Linked DNA regions of Lepisosteus oculatus. The protein of the gene in region 2 interacts with the protein of the main gene of each other region in a biochemical or structural test. Links are inferred from orthologs where the notes say so. Each region holds a gene or a part of one and is shown on either strand. Other genes may lie near its edges.

Region 1 (11,106 bases), on a different chromosome or scaffold from region 2:
GAGATGCACTGCATGTGGCATCCATAAATAGGCCCTTCAAGCTGTTTTTCCATGCTCTTGAAAAAGTCTAACACACAATAATAAATATCACAATTGTTCATAAATCTTTGTCAGGACTCTATGTGTACAAACATAAAGTACATAGAAATTGGGTCAGATACTCTTTTGCACATTAAAATGAGGAACTCCAAATGCAGCTTCACTTTCCCATGCCTGAATATGGTGGGACACAGGCAGAATGCCTCCAATGTGTCAGTTACAATACATTGGCATTGCCATATAACCATATTTTGCTTCAGCAGTTGTCACAGAGCCCTTCTTAGTCCTCCTGCCAACCAATTTCCAGACAGTTGCAGAACGGAGCTCAAAGTAAAGATTACGAACTGCGAGACGTCCGACAGTCTTCTGGAGATCAAAGCGCTCTCCCTCGAAGTACAGTATGAGGATCATTCCAGCCTAACATCAAGGAGAAGGTGGGAACAAGAAGTTAAGCACTTTATATTTTGTTGCAAAAGAACAGGGTGGCATCGTGGCAGTCAGTGGAGATTCTGCAAGACTTCACCAGCACAGTGATAAAAATACAAAAACAATATTCTTACCAGCCAAGTCTTACTTATCCTCTCCAGACATTCTAAGGCACAGAAAGATGCAGGATATTTGACTATTATTTGAAGATGTTTTAAAGGTAGCTTTCTCACCTTCTTGAATCATGGGTTAACTTGACATTGATGGACTTTCATTCTGCTAGATATGCTTTAGCTGAAAGGGGCAGACTTCGAATGATTATTTTTTGCCAACCTGAATGTTTTATGTCAACATTAAAAATATAGATAAACAAAGATTGAACTATTCATACACTATTATTTTACTGGTTTTCAAAGTGTCTTTTTGGAACATTTACCTTTCTGACCAAAAGATGAAGTTCAATTAATTCACACAAAACTCTTAATGGAACCAACAGGCTGAAGGCTCACAACTAGCAGAAGGAGAGCTTTGCTACCAGTAATATTTTTTTCTGGTTTGTCGCTCTGTGTAAAAGAACTACATTATCTTTGCTCTGATGAGGAGTTAAAAATAAATGACAAGTGCCAAACCATCAAATCTACTGCCAATCACACCTCCCAACTGGAATAAAAAAAAAATCTTTAAAGCCTATCTCTAAAGATTGTCCCGGGACAGGTCACTTCAGAGGCTATAAATAAAGAAAAAGCTGAATCTCTAAACATGGCTTTACACTAGTTTGGAAATGTTCCACTGAGTATCGTACTGCTTCAAAATATCTTGGCACCACGTTGTTTTGGCTGGAGGTAGTATTAAATTCCTCTCTTCAAGAAGAATTAAATCTTAAACAACAATAGAAGCAGTAACCTCCACAGTGTCATAACAAACATAACGAAACCCAGAAACAGCTTCATCTTTAATTCCTTTTCCCTGGCAGGAAAAATACATAAAAATGGCACAGCACAGCAGGGAAGCTCTTTCGGCTATTGAATCTTAAGTTATGAGCACATGGCCAAAGTATTTCAGACTCAGTAACTATATTTAAAAAAAATATTTTAGAGTGTCTAACACAATAGCTCTTGATACCCACAATGGACACATTTCTGCAAAATTACTGTTAGCAACAACGTGGGCTTGCTTTTCCACACGCCATGTTTGAAGACAGATCAGCAGAAACTGTGCTGCAAAAGGATTTTTTCACTGTTGAAACATTTTTTTTTAAAAAGGAACCCGTCAATATTGTTTTAGTTTAAAGTTTAAGTTTAAAGTGGGCTTTTCATGCCTACATTATTTTGATCATTGAAGTTAGAAAAGAAGCTTCTAGCCCCATTTGTAAAGCATGATAATTCTTTTTAAAATGATAATATCTTCAAAGGTTATTTTAAGAGATGCAAAGCAAGCAGGAAAAGAAAGTCATGCCAAACAACTGCTGAATCATTGATCTACTTGTAGATATTGTATTTAATTTTTCAGGCTATTTGAATGTCCCTAATTGAATATAGGGTACAACATTTAAATGAACATTGAGAGTTGTTTTCAAACTCCTACAAAACACATACAAATTTGTATTACTGTTTAAAGTTTGCAGGTTTTCAAATATCTATACATATTTGTTATAGATAAAAATATAAACATATTTAGCTTCAATGAGCACTGAGTTGACTTCCCTGTTAATGTCTGAGTTATCCTTTCACTCAGCCTTCATTAGTGCTATAAATGGGTAGACTACCCTAAAGAGTATCTGCACAATACTGAAATGACAGATGTACAGTAATTAACAAGCACCAGCTGATTACACTGGTAGTTGTAGTAAAAACAATATTTCCTACACACGACCCACGCTGCTTCGTTTAGGTAGTCCAATGACACAGATCATCAGCTTCTTCGTTATTGCATTGCTTGGTGTGTCGAGACGTTAATTACGAGGTGATAACGAGGCAAGAACCAACATTTCTGTTTAGCGGCATCAACACACAGAGTTAGGGACTGTAATGCACAAGAAATTTTCATGCCACTGATGTTGTTGCTTATTAAGCAGCAAGATAACCCACTTCGCGGCAAGCAAATTAAAGTGACGCATTTGGTATGTTATGCTGTTTTTTTCTTCATGAAAGTCAAAGCTAGAAAGCCCTCAAGAATAACATTTTCACTCTTGTAAATATGCACAGTAGGCTTTTCAGAATCAGCATAGCCCTGCTAGAGAGAGGTATAATCAGTTGATTGAGTTTTCATCTCTCCTTCTAATTCTGTTAAAGGCGTGGGTGGCATTTATAGATGGGACTACCTACAGTACAGTTACCCGCTCCGATTAACAGCTGCACTGAAGAATCAGAGCTAAAAGTATTTTAAAGCACACGACCTCAAGATACAGTATGTTTATGAAGCCGCAACACTTAAACTTTACACTATTTACAGTGAGAAGCTGTACTTCAGGGACACCTTGGTGCGTTGTTTACATTTATTCTTCTAATGCTATTGAAACACCTATTCCTTCTAAACTCATAATAAACTACAAAACAGAATAAACAAGGCAAACTACTGTGTTGCCCGTCACTGTGATCTGCAATAATAATCAGAACCACCACCACAACAACAACAATAGTGAGTGAAAAATATTTACATTGTATTTCATAATATTTCAATATTATATTAGTAATATTTTAATGATATTTTTATATTGCATTACAAATGCCACATGATTTGCCACAATACAAAAAAACAACACAGATCTCTGCGGGGCGGAGTGACTGAAATGGACTGAAACAGCCTGCTGTCGCACCGGCCACGCTGTTGTCTGATCACGCATGCCGGCTCTGGCTCAGTCCTGCTGTCTCACAGAGCGGCGGTGGGGCAGTGCGGCGGTGCGGGAGCGGTGCGCCCAGGCGCCGACCCCCGCCGGACCGCGGACCGTCCCCTCCAGCCAGCGCTCCCGACCGCACGGCCGTTATCCTGCATCCCTCGCACCAACTTTTCTCCCACTTCTCTCTCTCTTTCTCTCAACTCCCAAGTTTTATCCGTGTACTCCGCGTATCCCGGCTTCAAAACACGCGTGAAAATGTCCCAGCTTGAGCTCTCTCTAACCACGCAGTCACCGATATTCGCCAAATACGTCTTGCTACCAATCACCCGACAAAACTTTTTTTGGGGGGGGGGTCGTCGTCGTAGCTGAGGTTCCCCAGAAAACAGACGGCGAAACACCCGTCTCACATCCGGACTTCAGAGTTTATATATATATACTGTATATTAAGTTAAGAAGCAAGCAAACGCCACCTTTACTTTTTTTTTCCGACCCAAAGATTTCAAAATGTAACGTACAGCTCAGAGCAGATATTTATTCTTCGCCTTTGGGAAAGCATATTAATAATAAGAGCCAGGGTGTCCCGTTATCTCGCGAATATTGCTTGAACGGTACAGTATGTACCGTTATCTTCCCCCAAACCCAAAGCTGCAATAAAGACAGCTTTTATCACTGCACACTTGCGTTGCTCTTCAGCTTTGCAGCAGAATAGGTAGCTAATTGTAACAACAATAAAACAATAAGCAGCCCACGTTGAGTTCATCTGATTTAAAAAAAAAAGCTCTATAGCTGGGTCTTTCTAGCTGTTCTTGTACCAATTTCGTGTAGCTGCGGATAATGGAAACGCACACCCCACAGAGAAAGGACGGTAAAGTTCAGAGGGGAAAAGAAGAAAATAACGTTACAGCTCAATACATGAAACAGCCCATTTCTGCATAGACTCACAGTGTGCAGAGAAGAGGATCGCAAATCCTGCCAGCCTTGCTTTCGCCATCTTGTTGAGTTGCTCAATGGATTATCTGCCCGTACATGCGCAAAATAGAGGGGGTAGCTTTCAGATGATAGGGAGGACCACTGGAGAGAGGGAGGGGAGAGTCTGTTGTCGAGAGTTTCCATAGCTACACGCATCGTTTTTAAGGACAGCCTTTCCCCAAAATTTACTTTTTTTCCCCTCCCAAACAGGATTAGTGGTTTTTACCGTTACAGTTCTTGATTTTCGTCTTATAGTTGTGCTGTAAATTATTTAGACGACATTTCTCACGAACTGGCTGATGAAAGGTTTTTTTAGGGGGCTTACAGGACATTTTCTTAAAGTCAAGTATTAACCTCTTCCTGCGGGAATATTTTTCTCGCCCGCAGTTATGTTTCAAAGGTCTAAAAAAGTGGCAGGCTCTTTACATTTATATAGATGCCTAGCGGATCTCACTAACCTAGTTCATAGCTTAATCTTCATAATCTTCATATTATGGACCAGAGAGTGTACATCAAGCTTATTTTATTGTTTCGATCAATTCTTATTGGACAGCACCTCAGAAATGTAAGGTGTGTGATCTTTTCCCAATTATAATTCTTCTTCAATAAACTACTTTAATCAATAGTTTTCAATTATTTGTTTTGATGTTTAATTTCTGCTGAAACAATGACACAGTAGACAGATAAGCACATTACCCAAAGATATATAATCACTTCTAATTATATCAAGGTAGTATAATTTTTAGTACTCTTACTGTCATAATATAGAAGATAGAAACTGTATACAGTATATGAGATTCATTTCACCCCCAGAGTTAAATGGTGTCGGCCTTAAACTGCAACCAGCAATAGACTCAGGCACACTGTGCCTAAGCAATAATTTGACTTGTCTTCAAATAATGCCAGACTGGAAAAAAATCCATATTCCAGGGATGAAGTGATGAGCAATATCTTTCAATATCTATTCTGTCCCATTGTATTTTTGAAAGGCTCTTTGAATCTCACATGGATTTAATCTCCACACAGCCACTAGCACAATAAAATGATAAAATTCTGTATGCAGAACACATTCTTTATATAATCTTGTACAAGATGTGTTTTAAAAACCTGCAGGACCTACAGTCCTTGTGTTTTATGGATCTGTCAGTGAAAAAGCAGCATCACCTGTGTATCTTTCCTCTTCAGTGTCCTACATTTGTTCAGCTTGCTGTAAATATACTTCTTGTGTCGGATTCAGCACTTTTAGTCATTTTGAGTGTTTATCTATGTCAATGTTCCAGCAGAAAATAAAAAAAGGAGAAAGTAAAAAGAAAAAAGAAAATTCTATGTTTGAATGTCACACCTTTAATCAAAACTATTGATCAAAGCTTGTAGAAGAAGAAAGGTTTTACATGGGAATAGATCACACACCCAACATGTTTTAGATGCTGACCAATGAGAACTGATCAAAACAATAAAATATGCAAATAATGACGCACATGCTCTAGTCAATAATTGAAGAACAAAGCAATATTTTAACCAGATTAGTGAGATCTAACACAAATGTACAGTACAACAGTACTGTATATCATGTTCATAGACCATTAAAACCAAGCTGCAGTGAAGACATCAAGAGTTCTTGGGCAGGAACTTGGTGAGAAATGTACTGTAGTCTCTCTCATTACAGTAAAACTTAAATGTCTGTCTTGTGCTGCGACACATTTAATTTTCTTATATTATGTTCTGGGTTCTTTTGCCCTGCAACACAGATTTTACCATCTCTTTAGCTACCTGTTAAAAAATTTAAACTGCTTCCATACAACGTCCTAATGACAGATGTGATAAGAATACTAAGAAAAAAGAATTTCTTGCTCTTAAAAAATTAATTAAGCATGTCCACCAAAGTAAGTTGTCTGTACCAGCTTTTTATTTCTGTCATTGGGATCTGGAGTCTTTTTCAATATTTCTTCTTTTAACTTCAGTTTATTAACATATATTCTGCAAGGAATAAGGTACTGTAGATATCAATTTCATTATTGGACTGATTGTTCAGAGCTGTCACTGATCTATTACTTGATTCAATTTTGGAGGAAATCCAGCACTGAGAAGAATAGCTGCTCAATCTTGCTCTAATGGCAGTTTATAGAAATGACTTATGTTGGCATACTCTGGGGATATTTCATTTAAGACTGTGATGTAAAATATTTTAGTATGGTAGGTTTTGCCATCAGTCTCACTCCGGTTTTGCTTCCAGCATTCATGATTGGTTTGGCAGGGGCCTGCTGTTTTCTTAAGCTGGTACTTTGAATTATTGCCTGCATTGCATTTCATTATTTTCTTGCAACACAGATTCTGTTTGTTTTGTAACTTTTGCTTTGACCACTGAGCTCACTAGTTTTCACAATATTATGTTCAGTATACAGTATACAGTTGTTTTTTTTTACATTTTGCCTTTGAAATATTTTCCGGAATGGCACACCTGTGACTTCAAACAAGACCTATACTTCATTTCAGGAAGCGCTATTTTACTGATTTAAAAAATAGCTCTGTTAAATCCAGATCATGAAATGTTTTGATTAAACTTTGATGATATGGTCCAGTGATAGAGAAATAAAACTAAAAATGTAAATATACTACGACTTATTAAAATAGACATGAGTGAGTGATAACGTTATTAGTTGAATTAAACAGGTACGTATGCAGTCTTCAGTTCTTATAAACTGTAGAAAGGGTCTTTGCCAGAGCAGGTAAAAAACAGTTTTTTGTTGCATGCTGGGAAAAGTATGCTTGCATAAACGAACACACTTTCCTTGTGGGAAAAAAATTCAAAAAGCCTCAAAATGAAAGGTGTAGTGGCTTCTTCAGAGCTCGCACCATGGGAAGGCTAACAACTGCAGATCTTAATCTGTCGACACAGCACAGGGCTGATGACACAGTGTCCCGAGAAATGCTCCAACTTTCTCAGGCTTAGGAAAACCTCTCTGTGACACAAGTTATCTGCACAGACACGGTGGGTGGCATCTGAGTGAGAGGGGCATCTGTTGGCCTGAGGCAAGGATCGACAGAGAAATTCAAAAACATTGAAGGGAGAGTGGCAGTGGGGAGAATGAGGATGGTGTCAGCAGGGGAGAAGCAGAGGGAGAGGAGTCACAAAGAAAACTCACATGAGAAACAAAACTGCAAAGGACTGGGTAATTAAGTGCTCGTGAAGTGAACCTAAATGCCATTTATCATTAGGAACAAAATCCAAGAAGAAGAAGGGGCTGCCTTAGTGTGTGACTTAACTGGAATCACGAAACTTTCTGCTAACAGAATGGCAATGAATACAGCATGAGTGGATACGCAGCGTTCAGAAGATGAGGCAGCTGAAAAAGGTGAAGACGATGGCACTGCTCAACAAAATAGCATCAAAGGACAAGGAACTAACCCAGATCAGTAGTTTCAGCGCTGAGCCTGCTGAAAGCCTGTCTGCTGATTTCAGGTCCAGCTGACCTCTTACTCACTGATAACTAGCACCTTTAATGTATCTGTTTCTCCTGCAGAGGATCGGCTGGTCATGTCTGAGATATTGTGCTGGCAGATAGTGTGCTGGCAGAGTCCAAAACCAAGTTTACAATTTCAGGAAAGCAGACAATGAAGAAATGAGATATGATAAAATAGATATTGAGATCCAGAGAAAGGATGCCCACAGTTTAAATACTGTATATTCTGCTTCAAGCATAAAGAAGGAACAAAATGAACTTAATGCACTGGTAAAAAGGATTTTTAAAAAGGTCAAGAGAGAAATAGAAAATAATATTGTAATGGAGGCTGTAATAAAATCAGAAAAAGTTTTCAATATTACAGAGGCAAAAGCAAAATAAAGAATGAGGTGTCTCTGAGATAAAAATGAGAAACCGTAAAAACAATAAGAAGGAAATGGTTTATATATATTAAGGTGTTTATTGAGGTGTTTACTAAGAAAGAAAATGCCAACATGCCACAGACTGAAGGAATCTAAATCGAAATCTGTCTATTAAATAATATTAGTATGGAAGAAAGTCACTCACTAGAAACCTTTGTAAAAGTAAATCATCAGAGCCTCCACAGGAGGTAGCAGTTCACAGTTGTACTTACTTAATGAAAGTATAAAGGAAGCAATGATATTCATAGACTGTTAATCAAACTTTTCCAACAGTTGCTCAAGACACACACTGATTGGAATTGTTAATGTTGCATCCAGCCATCCAAAGAGTGACAAAACCAAATCAAGTAATTAAAGATCAATTAGTTTTACTTCTATTGTTGTAAAATTCTGAACATGTTAATTCAAACTAAACTAGAAAATTACTTGCATGGATAGTCAGTGTCTAGGGTTACTCAGCTAGTCAGAGTTTTCTGAGTAAGCCATACCATAATTGATAAAAACACATCATACAATACAGTATATTTAGATATTCAAAGGATTATTATAATGTTTCCCATAAAAGAATAATTCTCATGTTGCAGGTGGTAGGTATTCAAAGGTTATAAAAATCAGGTCTGAAAATTAATTATTTTAGTTTCAAAGTTTGTTATTTGAAGGTCTTCTGAAATCAAAATCTACATTTCGTATACGTACTGTATAAAGCACAGAACGTTTTTGCATTTCTTCATAAAATTAAATTTCGTTGACTAAACATCTTTATACAGTAGAGCAAATTGTTAACTATCTTTTGGGATAATAATTGGGATCATTGTCATGTTCATTTACTCCATGGACTTGAGTCAAAGTGGCAGGAAAAGAAGGGTTGGATGAGACGTTGACTCTCAGGACATTGTCACTGCCCGTGTGGGTGGCTACAGTGGGTGGACGCCTAAGGGACAGATGTGGCCTATTTCCTTGAAAACTGTGGAGTCTTAGCTTGAGATCACATTGACTAATATTCCTCTGCGTAGGTCAGGGAACTCCAGTTTCACACGTGTTTTTTCAGATTTTATTCTCATGTAGCAAACACATACTGTACTGTAGCAACTCACACTAAAGCTGACCACCTGAGAGTCATGAAAATGTCACTGCAAACACTATTAATTAGGACTGGCAATGCTCATGTTGCCTTCAGCTTGCTGTCCTCGCTCATATTTTCTTCATTTCATACTGTTTTCAATCAAAAAAACAAGAATTAAAGGTTGACTTTAAAATGAAGTTTCCAGAACAGCTCCACTCAAAACAAGAATAAACTCACTGATTGTTGCCTACAGCCTAAATTGTTATCATGGCCATCAGTTCCTATATCTAATGGTATATGAGAAATGTACTGCAAGTTAGACGTGCTCCTTTTACAGCGTTATTTCAAGCACTAGCAGGGGGAAGAGGAACAGTTGACTTTCATGGTTGAATACAACAGTTTTTGAGGGTTTTGCCTTGAAGGGCATTTGAATTTTTTAGCAGTTTCTCTGAGTGTTCATTTAAAAGGAAGCAACACTGCTTTGTTCTGAATCACTTTTTCTCAACTGAAAGCAGGAAAAAGGTCAAGTTACAAATATCCCCAACAGCTTGGACTCTGGGAAAGGGCTGTATTCACAGTTTACAATGGCGTGTTCCAAAGAAGGCAGATGAAGTTCATTTCATTAAAACAGTAGTTCCCTTTTTAATTTTATTTACATTATACAGTACAGGACTCAGCCTGGGTCTTTCCACATAATCTTTCTCATACTCCTAGGTTGTGTCTTCCGTGAGCCTGCGTAAGCAAAATGTAGTTAATAATATAATAATAACATTACTTTATTAACCCTTTACAATTTCTTGCATTAGGAATAATCTTTTCGCATACCCCAACTTGCTCTCCATGAGACACACAGACACACAGATAGGGAGAGAGCCTGGGGTCAGAGCGCAGGGTCTGCCATAGTACAGCACCCCTGGAGCAGTTGGGGTTAAGGGCATTGCTCAGGAGCCCAGTGGAGTAGGATTCCCCTGCTGGCTGCGGGATTTGAGCCGGCAACCTTCCAGCCACATGCGCAGATCCTTAGCCACAGAGCCACTGCTCCACCCTAAAAAAACAGATAAATAAGAAAACTAACATCCGTTTGCCTGTAGTATTAATAACTAGTCATTTGCAAAGCATTATAGAGAATATCAGTTATAGAAAGCAAATATGTAACCGACATGATTAACACAGGATATATTAAAGTTCATTTCTAGGATATATAAACTTCCTATTTTAATATCTGTTTAACCCATGGGCATTTTGGTTATTGTTAGTTGAACCTGTCTAGTTTTGGGTGTTATGCAGGATATAAATCAGGTCTGACAATTGTGGAGGTCACAATCAGAAATCCTTCGGAACAGATCCTGGATGAGTACAATGGGAAACTAAATTAGAACAACAAAATATTTTGACTTCTGCGTCTCCCGATGGCAGACACATCCCATGGGATTTTGTGACGACAGCACCACACTGTGAAGTTAACAGGGAAGAACTGCCTTTATCTTCCTCCTGGCAAACGTACATAGGGTTCCCAAATGTACAGTAAGTCAAACAGATACAAACATTCCTTTATTCCACTATCCATTAAAACTGTCAATGCAAATGGCAAGGATAAACTCAATTTTTGACCTTTACAATCCACTTGTGTGCAATATGTTTTGTAATGTGTTATAAATTATATATATTGTTATGTGATATATATGTGAAATAGAGTGATGTGCAATGCTTTGTTTTTTTGGTGTGTGTGCATTATATTTAAATGTACAGAAGTGCTGTGTGTCCACAAACTATTCCCTCAAGGGACAATAAATCTTATCTTATATCTGAGAGCTCTAAATGCAGTTAATCAGTATCCCCTAGAAATGTATAGCTTCTTTCTTGAAAGCAAGAACACATCGGCTTCTGTCA
Region 2 (11,068 bases):
ATTAGTAATCAAATTTTAAGACCCATAGCCAATCTGAGATAACCATGGGCTTTTAGGATCATTTACATTCTAGGAACTTACACGGTCCAATCAAGTTGTATGTATGTACCTTTCCCCAGAGAAAAAACGCTACAGGTTACAGCTTCTTTGTATATTATTTTGACATCGACTAACCTTTTTGTTCAGAACGTCTTAGTTTCATCAAAGCAATGTGAGAGTTTCCTACAGGATCAGAGTGGTAGGATTCTCCTAGTTACTCTCTCCAAAGGGTTAAGAAAAGGCAGACCCCATGGCTTCCATTACAACGTTAATACACCCCTGGTACTACATTGCAGGTTCAGAATGAAAATTCTTGGCTCTTTTCAAAACACACAAGGAAATGCCTTATGTATGAGGTCTGAATGTATGGTTTACTTGACTGTCATTTCTTAGGAATTCACCAAGTAATTTTTGCACAATTTTCCAAGCAAATACTTCTTCCAAAAGCAATGCAAGCTTCTGGCAATACCATCTTTAGCTCTGATACAGTATCTGGAACCCAGAAAAGGATTTAAGGACAAGTCTGCAATATAAATAATTTCACAAGTCTGTAACTGCTGAAAATTGCATGTTACATGCATTAAACATTAAATCATTCTGTAGTCATTTATTATAGTTATACAGTAAATAAAAAAACGTATTTGACATCTCCTTCCTCTAATTGAAAATCTCTCAATGTAAGCACTGTCAATAGATTATCCCAATAACTCTGGCAGTGAATCTCTGATTAAAATAAAAGTCAATTTTAGTTCTTAGATATGTGAACTTATGATTGAATGTTCAGGTTCACAACTTAACCCTGAACACATTGTGTTCCTATCTTTAATAGTAAAATGTATGAATCAAGTACTTGGTGAAACAGAAATTTGAATTGTGTTTGCACATGGAAGTACATAAAATCTACTATAACAGTCAAGTCCAATAATTTTGCAGCATTGTGATATAATTGGATGCTGCTTATAGTGTAGTTTCCTTGCACTGTTTTTCATGCTTTTTAATTTTGTGTATTTATAAAATATAGCTACTTTGATGCAAGACAAAGTTCAGAGAAATCAGACAAAGTACTATGATTTAATTAACTCAAAAGCACAAAAGGTTTTTTAGACAGGAAGGCTTGGTGAATTCTATAACCATATTACAATTTTTAGTTTAAAAAGTCACACAACTACATGAATGGCCTATTCAGTAATAATCGTAGTCCATATAATTTAACAATAAATATTACTGTCTCTATAAGGACCTGCATTCAGGTAGTGCATCTGAGGCAAAGATTCAACTATCAAGCCTAAGTAGCTTTCAAAACAACTACAGATCAGAAGAAGGATATAAAAACACTGGAAAAACTCTTAATATCTCTTTGAGCACGGTGAAGTCATTCATTAAGAAGTGACAAATACACAGTACTCTGCCCCAGGCTTCCTGTCCAAACTGAGTCAAACAACAGCACCTTTGAAAGAGCTACAGAGTTCAATGACTGAGACAGCAGAAAATGTCAATGTGTCAACAACCTCCTAGTCACTCCACAAAGCTGGTCTTTAGGGCAAAGTGGCAACCCATCTCAAGTCATGGGGTGTACAACAAAGTGTTTAAGTAATATTGCAAACACGAGGCAAAAGGTTTTGTGGTCGGACAAGGTAAAATATAGGCTCTTTGTTCTAAATGCAAAAGCTCTACACATGGCATGAATCCAGCACAGGATGTCACCCAGTCAGCACCGTTTCTACTGTAAGGCATGGTGGTGGCAGCATTATGATATGGGGGGGCTGTTTCTCATCAGTAGGGCCTGGGAACCTGTCAAGATTTTGTTTTTGCGGGTTTTATTGACAAAACGTCTTTCACTCATAGACAAGTTCAGTAGGTGAATACTTCAGCATGGCACAGTATGTGGCTGGAACTTGCATCGGAGACTCAAGTTCTTGAGTTATGAAATGTGATGTAACCAACACAACCCAGTGCTCTGCAAATTTCCCTCAGTGCCTTCCTACTCGTTTGTTTTCTTTGGCGGTGCATATTGAAAAGGCAATGCTTCAAGCATCTCTTTCCCTGGAAACCTGATTCTAAATGCTTTAATGAAAATCCCCGCCATTAAAGCTAAAACGAGAAAGAATCAACAATGTCCAAATTCAAATACTTGAAAAAAATGTATTGCCACCTTTCTTAACCAAGGAGATTGATTCTGTATTACTGCAGCATGGATGTCCAAGTGTTGTTAGGAGATGGAAAAGTATGTTTCTATAGTCACCTCCCTTCATTACCTCAAGGTTTTGTGACAAAAACCTTTATTACTTAAATACACACATTTCTCCTTCTGACATAACTACTGTATTTTAAACTGATATAAATGATCAAACACTTCAGTACTCTAATAGGAAGGTGTCGCTTTACAGGAGACAGAAATGTTTAAACAACTGGCAAATGAAATTCAGAACTGCAACAGGCTTTCCTAATCCTAAAGACAGGTAAAAGCTTCCATTCATGAGGTTCAAACAGGGTAAAATTGTTTGAAACCTCTTTGAAATTAATCGGCTTGAATTTCTTTACGGCTATTTTACAAGCTCCCAACCCTCTGAAATGTTTCAATAATAATGTTGCGAGGGTGTACAGTAACTGAAACCGCTTTGTAGCTGTGATAGGGCAGTTACTCCGATACTCGAAAGTACTTTTAAACAGTAACTAGACTTCAGTCTCTGCCTCTTGAAGCTTATAACCACTAGCAGTTTAAGTGCTGCTTTTTTCTTGTTAGCTAAAACAAATATCATGAATTGTTTACAACGGATCTGTTAACTTCCTAAAGAAAATGACTCGCTATATTAAAAAAGACCTACTTTGTAAAATATTCTTCACAGAAAAACAAACGCTCCAAATGATGCTCTGTGGTTAAACACTGTTCTGAATGGGTATTGTAAAGTAGAAGATACTGCTAGAAAACAAGTGCACTTTCAAAATGTTACTCTTCACTTTACATACCAGAATTGTCTGAAAAAATTATATCATTCAGCAGGGTGATGTTTTATCATATTTGGATGTACTACAACAAGGAAGATACCGGTATTAAGAATTTGCTACACAACTAAGCGATATAATATGAAGTAGTGCTTTGGAAATCCATGTGTGTGTGACATAAACCAAACTGTAGGTATTTAGCCGATAGCCGACTGCTACTTGTAATAACTTCCCCATGAAACTCATTGCTGTCCCGATGTTATGTCGCCAGAAACAGCACACTGGAGTGTTACGTGATCGCACCAGTAGACATATTTTAAAAAAAACTAAAATAAGGAATTCAGAACAAATCACTGCTACTTATTCCCCCCTCTGCAACCTTACAAACCTGGGCGAACAATGATAAATGGCAGGGTTTTGGAGTCGCAATTCAGTGTCTGTGTAACTCAGTATTCCTGGAATACTAACCAGTGTCTTTACAGATGCAGTTTCCCTCCCTATCCTCCAGGGCCTGGTGTATTCAGGAAGCCTGGGGCTGGATTTGAAGCTTTTTAGCTTGTTTTGTTTTTATCTATTCCACATGAAGTATTCCCAACTTAAACCATAAAAATAGTGTGAGCATTAAAACGTATTTATTTCTGCGCATTTCGTTTTCAAAACATATGTGCAAATACACGCACCCTTTGATTTCGGCTGGTCCCTAACCAATCTACCTCCACTGTAAACTGCGCTTGAACAAAGCGATAAATAAGCTCACTGCATTTAAAAATATATTGACCATGAATAAAGTACTCGCGGTCGTATTAGGAAACTGATTTTTGCCAAATAAAACCACGTAACCAGCTTAAAGTTTGAAATCTGCAATTTGAAGGTTTACCAGTAATAGACAACGTTCAAACATGGCTTTTAAAAAGTATTAAATTAACGGTAGCTTTCAGAAAAATCTAAATCGTTGCTTAAAATACATTTTACCAAACTCGCCAGTGCGCCAATCAAAGAAAAACTGTCCCTTTAAATAACGTTCAAGTAAGGAACTTTTGCGGGTTTACAACAGCCGGGTCCCGCCGCACTTAAAACACAAAAAAAATATACAAAACTGTTAAATCTGACTACTACGCTACAACCCAGACTAACCCTGAAGTCGCTTCTTTCTCAATCAGCGCCCGTCTATCTCTACAAATTAATCAATAGACCTTTAGGATTTCCCTTCCTTCTCTTTTTTCTCCCAGAAAAGCGCCATATTGAGCTTGCCGCACCATTCCTTGGGTTACAACATTGTTTCCAATGGGGAATTTTTTAAAGCACCAAAGCACAATACGAAGTAAAGAAAACTTACCTTCGCAATAGCTTTTTTGTATCTCATCACGGCTTGTTGAATAAGGCTGTGAACTTTAATATTTCCATCGCCACACGGAACCACCACCCTGGTCCTTCCAAAACACACTGTCACTTTCATAGTTACCGATATTTTCCACAAATCCCAAATCCAGAAGAAAAATAAAGGTGTAGTTTTCGTATGTAAAACCCTCCTTGGGACGTATTTCCTTTGGACTTGCAAAAAGTAGATCCAAAAGAGAGAGAAACGCGAAGCTTTTCACCTTTTCTCCATGGTCGCTTTTTTAAGATGTGTGTTTCTGACCACCTGTTTAATGTTTCTGCGATCCTACTCTGATGTGCTGGCTAAACTGAAGCAGAAAAGAACTGAACTGGGAAACCATCTCCCCACCCTGGTCACTGCGAGTATTGAAGCTCTTGAAACTTCACAAGCAACCTCATTTCACATACTGTATACTGTAAGTCTCGGGAGTGTCGTTGCCCCCTCCTCTTTAATAAAGATGATAGGTAAAATATGTTATCAGTTTATACACAAGTACAGAACTCAAGTGGCTTATAAACTATATTTGCTCTTAAAACTGTGATTACTATGCTAAGCATCCCTTTAAAACTGTTGATATATCACTCCAAATGAGTTAATCAGCTAACACGAAAATGCAATCTTTTTGTACACTTAATGCCGATTATTATTTGGATTTAACTAATCTAATTTCTTAATTTATGTATATGTAACTAAAACTTGTTTTGTTTAGCTTTAAACCAACTGAGCAGACATGAACAGAACATTTTTAGTTTTCTGACGTGAACATAGCCCGTTGAATATATCTGCATAAAAGTAATGCAATAAGCCACTAAAGCTGTTACACTGTAGCTTACCGCGAAATATTATCATTTATCAGGACTGCAAAGTCTGCGAGTCGCGTTGGGTTACAATGTACTGTATAACGCTTGAAAACCTAAAAGCTAGCGCAAGGAACTGTTTTTTAACTGTCACAGATGTACATTATTAATTATTATTATTATTATTATTATTATTATTATTATTGAGCGCAGATGTCTTGTTCTACACGGAGCAGCGGTTGGCGTATTAGTATTAACCTATTGGCGACAAACCTGTTCGAGCAGAGGAAATGGTGGACAACTATCAATTTTTTGTTCAGCAAGTTAAAATTAGGTCTCTCTGTGCAACAGCAGACCCACCAACATATAATAAACAGTTTTTTTTTTCAGCACAGGCTTTCAGTCTCAATTTGGTAAAAACATTATATGGAAATGCAATTGATATTCATCAATCTCAATCACGCCAGCGGTTGCATTCCTGGTTTTTGAGGGCCGCTAGTTTCCTTCCACCTGACACTTCACGTGCTTAATTGAGTTAATTAGCGACTACATCACTGGATATGCTTACGAAAGTAGTCATTTTTTAAACAAGTTTTAAACACACAAAAGCTTTCCACAACCTCAGCCCTCGAGGGGCAGTATTGCTCATTACGAATACAAACGTGCAAAACTAATCGATGTCAAAACGCACACACAGCGCCAAACCTACAGTAACTAGCAGCTATTTAACTGTTCATCGTTTTCACGCATAGTCGTTTTTGACCAGACTGAATCCCTGCACCCCTGTGGATTCAGTCTCTGGGGAAATCAATTGGGTAAAAGTATTTACAAAACTTAAATAATATGATTTTTAAAATCTGTTTCTTTGATAAAGCAATCGTAAAGTATATTTAAAAACTCTAGATAACCCAACAGAATTGAAACTGTTTCAATTGGAAGTGCCATGAACGGTGTTATTGAGTCATATAATGTGCTAAAACTATTTCATACTGTCTTTCAGGTGTTGTAGTTATATTTAGTGTGGTTAATAAGCTGTGAAAAGCTTGTGATATATGGATTCTTTGAGATAAACGGTGTAACTCAATGACACAATGGAAGGTACAAATGATATAAGACATTTGATGAAGATGAAGTTGTACATTTAGCTGATCGATCTTCAACTTATTCAACATACCTAATTTTCTAGTCACTGATGCTGCTTCTCCTGCATCCCCTGGTTGAAATACACTCATCTACAGTATGTGTCGCATTAAAATAAGGTAACAAAATTCAGACGAACAGAAGCCTTCACTTTGTCGGCAAAGGTTTTAGCATTTCCACAGGTAAACTAACGTGCAGAAACCACACAGTTGACGAAACTTTTAGAATTAGGCAATATTTTCACCCCATAAAAAATGTAAGAATTTATAGAAATAATAAAATATTAAATAAAATATAACATTTATTTATATTAATACTATAATAAATTAAATGCTTGACTTGATAAATTCAAAATTGAGTTCTCACAGGATGACTGCCAGCATTTCTGGTATTGTTTTTGCCTCCAAGCTGTATGCACAAGAGTACAATTGCAGTTATTTTTCTTATTGGATTTGTACATGCATTTTGCTATTTAAATTCTGTCTTAAGGTCCAATTCCACGTTGCAACCTTATTGGAGTATTTCTTTTTTATATTCTGCCTTTTCCACAATGGAAAATCAATTTGCTCCTAACTAACATTGTTTTCAGCTAAACTGTGCCAGCAGGAGGAGATGGGCTTTTTTCAATGACGGTGGATGTCACTTTAATTCAAATCTGAATATCTGTGCTCGTCAGCATTAAAGCAGAACACATTTTAAACATTTCCTCGTTTAAGACTACGCAACAAAAAAATCCCTTTTCAACCTATCAAGTACATATTGTACTTAAGTGTCCTTCAAGTATTTATTGCCACACTGTTCTTTGCAATCTATCTTCAAGGGCACTGGAAAATAAGAACGATGACCAAAACTTCACGTTATCAAGACATGATAGAAATGCTTTATAAAGTTGAACATTGTGCTTCCTTTAGCTTCTTTTGTTCAGTCCCATCGCACAGTGGATCTATTAGAGAAGTGACAAATTCCTCCATCAGCATTACTTCAATAGGAGGTTCATTCACGTTTGATGAGATTGTCCTAGCCCAGAGTGGGATTTAGCCAGGACACCGGGATTAACGGTTTTACTCTTTCAAAAAGTGGTAGGGGATCTTCAGTGACCGACCATGTAATCAGGGCCTTGATTTCACATCTTGTCTGAAGCATAGCACCTGCTACTATGTTGTGGTTGTGACCCCAGTCAAAATACTGCATTGGTTTGGAAATTCAGGTCCAGAGAAAGAGTGTTACCTACTTGTCTGTCGGCACCATTTGGATCTCCTTTGAGGCCTCCCATTCCAGCTGTTCTTGGCTCAGGCTACAAAGTGGTATTGCTTCTGTCAGGATCCCAAAGTGCCTTACACCGACCCATTTAATCTACTAACTAAAGTGCAGCATGCACCTAGGTGACATGTAGCCGTATTATGCATCAGAAGCCCCAGTCACAGGTGTAGAAGGGAGAAATTACCAGTTGAATAAAGGTGGAATTGTGGACAGACCAGAGTGGAATTGTACGCAGGACAGTGAGGTTCTAACACCTGTTCGTATGAGCTTCAGTCTCACCTGAAGGGCAGCATCTCCCACAACACAGTGATCCCCATTCTGGAGCACTGGTTTGGAACATGTGGACCAGAGGGGAGAGTGCCACCTAGTGGTTCTCCGGCACCACTTCCAGTAGCAAGCTGGTTTTTTCTTTGAGGTCTCCTATCCCAATACAGACCAGGCCCAGTCTTGCTTAGGTAATGAGATCTCACAAGATCAGGCTAGAAGCTGGCAATGCTGCCCAAGAGTAAAATTACCTCCATAAAATACATTCACATCCTTAATTATTTAAAGCTGTAACAGAGCAATGTAAAGAGATTCTGGTTTTATCATAGTGAACACAGTTTCAATATACCGTATTATAAAATAAATTTGATAACATTAGGCAAAATGAAGTAATTATTGCTGAGAAACCAAAGTGTAACATTCTCCATAATTATAGTATACTGTAGCTTTAATAGTTCCTCTCCCTGGAGTGATTTAGGACCAGACAGCAAGTTACTGAACCACATAAATAACATCTGGAATCAGAATTTGTATGCTATCATGTGACAGGGAACCTTCCAAATGGCTTAAAATTATCAGGTATAATCATATAGAGAGATGCACTCAGAATTCACAAGAAAAAAAATAAAATCATTGACAGTTGTTAGCTGTGCATGAGGTTCTCTGAATGGAGTTGTAATAGAGAGGTAGAAAGGGTGATTTGGGCACTGGGACAAGTGGGAATAAACAGTAGAAATACTGCATTGATGTGTTAATTGGCACTAATAGTTAACCAGCGGTTGCAAATTACTACCTGAAATGAATCTTTTTGCACTTATTGCACATGCGTACCACCCATACACTCAAAAAAAGTATTTTTCAAACTCAGCAGCTGAGATTTTATGTCACTAGCTAACTGAGCACATACTGTACCATACATAACATTACTCACACTTTAAACAGAGATCAGGTTTGCTGATTGTTTGAGTGGTACCGTTCTTATGCAAAACTAAATCATGTCAAGCAATTCCATAATAACACTAGGGGCAAAGTGTTTAGCATTTGAGTTTGAATTCCCCAAATTTATGAAAGACCTGCATAAACAGACATTCATTTAATTGATGGTAAAACCATGAAAGATACGATTATGTCCTGTTTGAATAATGAAGATCACCTGGTTGCTATTGATCTGCTTGAAGATGACCTATCTGCGAGAGACGTTTTCAAGAGAAAGAGATGCTCCACTTCAACAATCAGCAGACTCCCTCAGAGATACCAGGAGGCCAGGGAACCAGCTCTGTGGGCCAGGCCAAGTCCAGGAAGGTCAGAACACTAGTCCAAGACTGCAGGAACTGCAGAAAATCTTGACTAATTAGTCATCAGTATATTGGATTATCAAAGGTGTTGCTCTCTTGATAAGTGGGGCATATTAGTTTTTTTCTGGTTTTCTTATTGTTCACAAGGCTTGACATTCAACGGATAATTCACATCATCTCCTGGGGCCAGTCAATTCTCATTAATGAGGTTTATGTAGTTTTTATGTAATAGTCAGAGACAAGTGATGGCATCACTGTTAGAAATGAATGATCAGTTAATGAAAAGGCTGTCAAACACATTTCATCACTATCCCAAACTGACATAATTTATTATCTAAGAACATAGATGCATTAATATAAGAAGTTGCTTCTGATGTCTGGGATATGCCAAAAAGATTCTAGTATTATCAAAAACACAATTCAACTTTGTCAGACCTTATGGATATGATGAAAAGTTGATATTGTACTGCCTACAATCTTACCCCTCACAACAGAAATCAAACTTGTCCCCAACACACATTAAGGACGTGCATAACCCTTTGTGTACAAATCTTCCCCTGGCTGTTAGTTGTAAATATTTCCCCCCAGTTTCAACCTGTGCCTTGTGGTTTGTATTTCACAGATGGATCTGTAGTCCAAAAGGCTGACTTTGTCAGGGCCTTTGAAGACTATGGCCAGGGATTTGAACTTGCCTCTACTTGGCCCTATACCAAATGGTTGCATGTCACACATATTTACTTCAAACAACTGACTACTGGCTGGATCAATTAATGGTAACTGAACCTTGAAACTGTCGCAATGGCAAGGGAATTCAGAACAAAATTAACAAATGCTTACAGTTAAAAAAAAGCTGAGGTAAAAGGAATCCACACTTTCTAAGACAAAATAATTGTGAATCATTGCTTAAGATTCTTCTAATATAGCTCGTATTTGTTTTGGACACGTACAGTATATAGTCATCGGACTTAAAACGCAAAGAATGTTAGTACTAGATTCACTGACAGCTTCCTAGGGTTTATTTGAAGTTTTAAGGGTTCAGAGCTCATATTTACTCTTTATTTTACTTGCCAGTAGCCATATCACTCTGCAACTCACAACTGGCAACCCACTGAAGCTCAGCAGGTGTGAGCCTGGTCCGTACCTGGATGGGAGACCTCCTGGGAAAAACTGAGGTTGCTGAGAGAAGAGGTGTTAGTGGGACCAGCAGGTCCATGTGGGTCCTAATGCCCCAGTATCATGACGGAGACACTAGACTGTAAAAAGGCATCGTCCTTCAGATGAGACATAAAACCGAGAGGCTGACTCTTTGTGGTCATTAAAAATCCCAGGGCGTTTCTAGAAGAGTAGGGGTGTAACCCTGGTGTCCTGGCCAAATTTCCCATTGGCCTTTACCAATCATGGCCTCCTAATAATCCCCATCTATGACTTGGCTTCATTACTCTGTTCTCCTCCCCACTGATAGCTGATGTGTGGTGAGCGTTCTGGCGCACTATGGCTGCTGTTTCATCATCCAGGTGGATGTTGCACATTGGTGGTGGTGGAGGGGAGTCCCCAAAGCGCTTTGAGTGGAGTGTCCAGAAAAGCGCTATGTAAGTGTAAGCAATTATTAATTATTAATTATTATTAAGGCAGAAACATGTCAGGAAAACACTGTAATAAGTTTTATACCACAGACTGGGTTTACAGTCTGGGTATACAGCGTTACCTCTAAAAGTTTAACTATCAATCTGAACTCTGTACTTGAAACTCTACAAAAAAGATTTTTGGGCTCCACAAATCTCCAACCTCCTGCATCTGAAATAGAACACCTGCTCCCTCTAGTGTTTAATATCAGTCACATTTTCACCAGGAATAGGAAGGATCAGACAACACTTGAAATAATCTGTAGAGTGTGGGATTGAAACCTCCTTCTGTTTATGCAATAAAAACACTACCAAACAGTTACTATTTTC

The links.
Region 1: the proteins of pard3aa (region 2) and jam3b form a complex in vitro, tested with the Homo sapiens proteins (2 studies listed by BioGRID and IntAct, with this or other methods). The link is inferred for Lepisosteus oculatus from reciprocal best matches to the Homo sapiens genes PARD3 and JAM3.

Annotation. Positions count from the first base shown.
Region 1 is NC_090718.1:7,929,638-7,940,743, forward strand, and holds the start of jam3b (junctional adhesion molecule 3B), read right to left. Parts: upstream 4,347-11,106; 5' UTR 4,293-4,346; coding exon 4,244-4,292; intron 1-4,243. UniProt on the Homo sapiens protein: Junctional adhesion protein that mediates heterotypic cell-cell interactions with its cognate receptor JAM2 to regulate different cellular processes. Plays a role in homing and mobilization of hematopoietic stem and progenitor cells within the bone marrow.
Region 2 is NC_090701.1:38,415,305-38,426,372, reverse strand, and holds the start of pard3aa (partitioning defective 3 homolog), read right to left. Parts: upstream 4,689-11,068; 5' UTR 4,439-4,688; coding exon 4,319-4,438; intron 1-4,318. UniProt on the Homo sapiens protein: Adapter protein involved in asymmetrical cell division and cell polarization processes. Seems to play a central role in the formation of epithelial tight junctions. Targets the phosphatase PTEN to cell junctions.